Regions from separate parts of the Mus musculus genome. Here region 2 is reported to be linked to region 1. Evidence: microRNA targets listed by miRTarBase, many of them from high-throughput screens and not tested one by one. Region 1 holds a microRNA gene; the other region holds the end of a gene's coding sequence.

Region 1 (3,000 bases):
GAGACATCTCACTCACTAAGTAAAAACGCTTGCCAGAGTCAGGAGAATAAAGAGTTCAAATTCATAATTAACTTCATGAAGATTTAGAAATCATCCTGGGATTTATGTGATGGCCCCTATGTATGTGCCTGTGTGTGTTCTTGTGTGTGCATGTGCATGTGTGTATATGAATATACATATACATACACACATACACACGCACGTACACACACACAAACACACACATACAGGAATGGCACTTATCAATCCATTTGAATGGTATGTGACTTAGAGTTTTAGAGATTATGCAATAGGGGACAGTGAATGTTCTCACTCACCAGGTGTAAACGATTGACAGAGTCAGGAGGATCAGAAGTTCAAATTCATGCTTACCTTCAGTTAGAGATCATCCTGGTATTCATATGTATGTGCATGTGTGTTTACGTGTGTGTGCATGTGCATGTGTGTATATGAATATACATACACATACACACACACATACACACACATGCAACACACACATATGAATGACACTCACTGATCACTTTTAATGATATGTGACTTATAGTTTTAGAGATTATACAGTACTGGGCCAGTGAATGGTCTCACTCAGAAGGTGAAAATGCTTGCCAGAATCAGGAGAATCAGGAATTCAAATTCATGCTCAACTTCCTGAGAATTTAGAGATTAGTCTGTGATTCATGTGATGCCCCCCATGTATGTGCCTGTGTGTATAGTTGTGTGTGCATGTGCATGTGTGTATATGAATATACATATACATACACACACACGTATAAACGCAAGCACAAACACACACAGAGGAATGGCACTCGTTGATCCATTTGAATGATATGTGACTTAGAGCTTTAGAGATTATGTAGTATTGGGCCACTGAAACTTTTCATTCACCAGGGAAGGCTTGCCAGAGCATCAGTATCCAGAGTTCAAAATCATGCTTAACTTCATAATGAGTTAAAGATCAGCCTGGGATTCATGGGCTGTACCCTATATATGGGCAGGTGTGTGTCTTGTGTGTGCATGTTCATTTGTGTATATGAATATGAATATACACACACTTACACACTCATGCACACACACACACATCCATTTGAATGATATGTGTCTTAGAGCTTGAGAGTTTAGGCAGGACAGTGCCAGGGAGAGATCTCACTCACCAGGTAACAATGTTTGCCATACTCAGGAGGATTAGGAGATGAAATTCATGCTTAATTTCATGATGAGTTAGACATCAGCCTAGAATTCATGGGATGTCCCCCATGAATGTATGTGCATGTGTATATAGTTTTGTGTGCATGTGCATGTGTGTCTATTAATGTACATATACATACACACAAACATATACACGCATGCGCAGATACAGACACAGAAATGGCTTTCATCGATCCATTTGTATAATATGTAAATTTACTGGGCCAGTGAGACATCTCACTCACCAGGCAAAAACATTTCTCACAGTCAGGAGAATCAGGAGTTCAAATTCATAATAACTTCATGATGAGTTAGAGATCAGCCTTGTGTTAATGTGATGACCCCTATGTATGTGCATGTGTGTATATTTATGTGTGCATGAAAATGTATGTATATATGAATATACATATACATACATACCCACACAAACATGCACACACACACAAACACACCCACAATTGCCACTTACCAATCCATGTGAATGATATGCAACCTAGAGGTTAGAGATTGAGTATTCCTTTGCCCAAAAGAGCTCTCTCTCTCTCACCAGGTGAAAATGCTTGCAGAGTAAGGAAGAACAGCAGTAAAAATTTATGCTTAATTTCATGATGAGTTAGAGATCAGCCCGGGATTTGTGTGTTGCTTGCTCTATATGTGTGTATACTTGTGTGTGCATGTATATGTGTGTATATGAATATACATATACATACACACCCATATACACACGCATGCATGCACACACACAAATACATATACACAGGAATGGCACTCATCGATCCATTTGAATGATATGTGACTTAGAGTCTTATAGATTATGCAGTAGTGTGTCAATGAACGGTCTCACTCACCAGGTGAAAATGGTTGACAGAGTCAGGAGGATCAGGAGTTCAAATTCATGATTAACTTCAGTTAGAGATCATCCTGGCATTCATGTGATGCCACCCATGTATGTGAATGTGTGTTTACGTGTGTGTGCATGTGCATGTGTGTATATGAATATATGTATACATACACACACACATACACACTCATGTAACACACACACACACACACACACGAATGGCACTCATTTATCCATTTGAATGATATGTGACGTAGAACTATAGAGATTATGTAGTACTGGGCCAGTGAGTGCTCTCACTTTCTAGTTGAAAATGCTTGCCAGAATCAGGAGAATCAGGAGTTCAAATTCATGCTTACATTCATGAGGATTTAGAGATCAAACTGTGAATCATGTTTTGCCCCCCATGTTTGTGCATGTGCGTATAGTTGTGTGTGCATGTATATGTGTGTATATGAATATACATATACATACACACCCATATATACACGCATTCATATGAACACATCAACACACACGCAGGAATGGTATTCATCGATTTATTTTATTGATATGTGATTTAGAGCTTTAGAAATTATGTAGTACTGGGCCAATGAAACTTTTTACTCACCAGATATAAACGATTGGTATAGTCAGAAAGATCTGGAGTTCAAATTCATGCTTAACTTCATAATGAGTTAGAGATCAGCCTGGTATTCCTGGGATGTACCCCGTGTATGTGCATGGGTGTATAGTTTTGTGTGCATTTGCCTGTTTGTATATGAATATACATATCCATACATACAATCATATACAGGCACACAAAGACACACAGACATGAATGGCACTCAGTGATTCATTTGAATGATATGTCACCTCAAGTTTTGGAGGTTATGCAGTACTTGGCCTGAGAGGGGTCTCAGTCAGCAGGTGATAATGTTTACCAGAGTCAGTAGGCCCAGGGCCTGGCAAACGCAGAAGTGGATGCTCAC
Region 2 (3,554 bases), not on the chromosome of region 1:
GCTATGTTCACAATACTTGGGAATTACCACATACCATGTTATGGAAAAATATTTAATTCCACTTATTATAAGAAAATAAAACTGGCCTAATCTTCCAAAGAAATCAAAAGATTGAGTAGGTCCCTTGAAGGTGGGCATTGTGTGATCTGATTGCTTTAGAACCCAGCATTGAACATGGTTATGAGGTAAATAAATGGAATGGTACATACCTGCCAGGATAGTTTTCATAGAGTTCTCAGTCACTACCAGTCTACAGAATCAACTTCTGTAATACCATCACCACGTGAGGTAAAGGTTATCATTTTAGAAATGTAATTCACAATAAACTGATTCTTCTTGCTTTTGCTTTTGCTTTTTTACGATGTGCAAAACATACCAATTTAATGTTTCTTTTCTCAGATGGAGGCCAAAGTAAAGGGGACACTAAGTTACCACGGAAACCTCAGTGACTTTCCAGCAAGGGGGAGAGGAACCACTTGGCTGGCTGGCGGGACCGACCTGATGGGAAGTCTTGGCGGTCACAGGGCTGCTGTTTCTGTCCATGTTTACATGCTTGTCCCAAGCACTGTGGTGAGGAGGAAAAGAGAGAAAATGTTACTTGAGCAAAGCCAGTGCAGGAGGAAGAGATGCTTTTGTGCAAAGTCAGGGAGCTTTGGTCTTTTCAAACCCAAGCCCCCATGTTAACCAACTTAAAGCAGACTCAGCTGTCAAACCCACAGAAGTGTCAATCTGACTGTATTTAAAAAAAAAAAAAAAAAAAAAGGAAAGAAAAGAAAAGAAAAGGAAAAAAACTGGGGAAGAAGGAAGGAAGTTAAGAGGATTTGGGTAAATGGCCATCCATCCTGGGGGTTAGGTCTGAACACTCTACAGATAAGTGCATAATAAAAGCAGCTACAAGTAGAATTAGCCCAGTTTAAGGAGACTCAGTCATGTCTGTCTAGTAGACAGATTTTCCACAGTCAGTTGCATGAGGCTCTCCAGACAGTTGCCGAAGAGTACTGTGCCCTGAAATGTCCTGAGCAAACTTGAATCTTCTCCAGTATATAGCAGGTCCCCGTGCGAGTCAGTGGCCTGAAGATACTTTAGCAAAGCTGCTGTGACACAGTGATGTGTAGTACTATAGCTTCTAGGTTTTTAAAGTCAGGAAAAGGAGCCTGTGCTCTTACGAGACAAAATGTAGATAATCCCTTTTTATAAAAGGGTCAGTTTCACCCTCCATTCAGAAGTAAGTACTGCACTCCTTTCCACAGTTCACTTGTCATCTGGTATTGACTGGTTAATAGTTATTTCTCGTCCTGATATGCAGAAGTGACTGCTCGCATTTTCTCTTGACATGTGCGTCTTTGTTGTTGGGCTGCTGCTTTGCTGCTCATCTCTCTTGCAGCCTGCCAAGAACTGCAAACTCCCAGTTCCCTCCCTGCACAGTGCTCTTTCACTAGCGGTACTTTAGGTGACTAGAGCTGTTGATATAAACAGGAGTGTGCACAGCATCTGTCTCTTCATGGGTCAAACAAATAGCGTATGTATAATAGTGGACTGTTTTTCATTCTGAAGTGGTATTTTTAAAGGGATGAAGTCTAATAGGAATACGGATGTGCACAGGATGTGCACAAAGGACCACCTGTTATAACTATCACAATGAAGCTTTATGACCCATGCCCAGCGCAGGATGTTTTCAGCATTTGGGATCTTAAAAGTTTTACTATGACTTACTCAGAATATTAATATTCAAGTCAGCCTACAGATTATAAGATTCGTTAATTCTAGTTTTCATATGCGAATAGAGGCAATGAAGGGTGTGAAGGGGAAAACACAATTTTCTTGGGATACATTTTATTTTGCCTCAGCTATGTTTGTGGTGTCCTTGAATTTTAAACTTCTGAGTATTTTCAGACTATCCAAGAAAAAGCTCTGAGTGATACAAATTTAGTTTATATATGGTGACAGACTAGCCTGGTAATAACAAGATTGCTTCTATAATCTCATTACATATTACTCTGTATCATTTAAGTTTATTCAGATAAGAGTGTTAACCAGACCCCATTTTCCTTTGATGAGCAAAAGTCCCAAGAAGCCTCTAGGACTATAATAACCAACCGCAGACCTGCTCCAATTTTTATGCCTATAATTTGACTTCAAAGTTTCAATGGCGTGCTTAATAGCAAAAAAGTCAATGAATAATTGAAAGCTTTAGTTCCAAGAACTCGTTACAGTAAAGGAAGATGATTTTTTTTTTAGAAGAACATTGAAACTAGATATGATGGCCCATGCTTGTAATCCTAGAATTCAGGAAGCTGAGGCAGGAAGATCTCAGGTTTGAGGCCAGCCTGAAGTATTTAGCAGCAAGTCCCATGCTAGTCTCTACTGGACTAACAATGAGAGCTGTCTGTTTCCAACTGTCTTATTGTCTTTTAATGTTCAATTAATTAAAAATCTATTGGACTTCCATATCAGGTGTCCCTGACAGCAAGTTCTTCAATGTCACTTGCTGCCATATGAAAATAATCTTTAAAAAGTTCATAAAGTTCTTCAAAAAACTGGGGCCCCTTGCTCCAGGCTCCTTCGCGCCTCTTCTCCTTCCGGTTTGGTGCAGAATGGGTTGTGAGCTGTGTTTTTTTCTTTTTGTCCTCTTTTGTTACTAACATTTTTCTTTTTCTTTTTTTCCTTTTTCTTTTTTAAAATAAAAAGCATAGATTTCCCCTCCTTACCCCTCCTTTTACAATGGTCTCTTCTCCGCTCTAAGTCCTCCCACTTCCTAGTTCAAGTTTCATTTGTGCCCCGACTGCCCCCCTCCCTGCCCCATTGCATTGTTTGTGTGCGGCACCTGCAGTAGAAAATCCCAGCTCTCCAGGTCGGTCTGGGAGCTCCTCCACCCTCCTCCTGTCTCAAAAAAGAAAAAGAAAAAAAAAGAGAGAGAAAAGAAAAAAGGAAAACAAACGAAAGTAATCACTGATATAATTTCTTGACTGTAGAAATTTACTTTACCAATAAAACAAATGAGGAGGCTATGTAAGCCCCAGTAGATATTTTGGAAAGATATTGGGATGTTGCAGAGAAGTTTGACTTGAATTTAGCACGTTAAGGTTCATTTGAAAGGTCTCTTAGAGAAACTTGATCAGCTCTTACGCCAGCACCAGGAAACTTCGTTTCACAGGCCTGCTTATACTTCATAAATTGCTGTACTGGGGTGTCTGTTGAGGAAGGCAGCCTGTACTTCATTTTCTCTACCCAGAGAGAAGTCCATGTGTGTTAGTGTCTCTTCTTGCTGATACTTGTGTATTTGTGTATTTGCAGACACATACATATTCATATAAATCAATCGATATTAAAAGTCAAACAATAATTGTAGGTTCTTAAATCCATCGATTCTGAACCATGCTATACGAAGACCCTTGATGGTTCTCTTTCCCATGTCATTTTATAAGATTACCCTGGGCTCTGAGACTATGCTGTGTAAAATATATCCTGTTTTCTGTCAGTCTTGACTCCTTAAGGACTGCTGCCAGATCCCCAGTCCAGCAACCCTTTCATGTTATACAAGTGAATCAAAGTCC

The links. The annotated mature microRNA mmu-miR-466f-3p reads CAUACACACACACAUACACAC and lies in region 1 at 2,196-2,216, shown strand. An mRNA with a match to its seed (bases 2 to 7 or 8) in the 3' UTR can be bound and repressed. Matches are read on the target gene's strand: a 7mer-m8 pairs with bases 2 to 8, a 7mer-A1 pairs with bases 2 to 7 and ends in A, and an 8mer does both.
Region 2: the mRNA of Ubn2 is a reported target of mmu-miR-466f-3p. Seed matches in the 3' UTR shown: 7mer-m8 at 3,274-3,280 and 7mer-m8 at 3,282-3,288.

The regions. Positions count from the first base shown.
Region 1 is chr2:10,466,534-10,469,533 of GRCm38, forward strand. Mir466f-2 (microRNA 466f-2) reads left to right here and starts at 2,142; the gene lies at 2,142-2,235. All of the region lies in intron 10 of Sfmbt2 (Scm-like with four mbt domains 2), which reads left to right. It overlaps Mir466m (microRNA 466m), which reads left to right and starts at 130; the gene lies at 130-213. Mir466f-1 (microRNA 466f-1) reads left to right here and starts at 411; the gene lies at 411-504. It also overlaps Mir669f, Mir669e, Mir669b, Mir669d and Mir669l.
Region 2 is chr6:38,501,839-38,505,392 of GRCm38, forward strand. Ubn2 (ubinuclein 2) reads left to right here. Exons shown (of 17, transcript NM_177185.4): 17 at 400-3,554. The coding sequence ends at 449. Among named protein-coding and RNA genes, the nearest start is that of Mir7670, 3.7 kb to the right of the region's middle.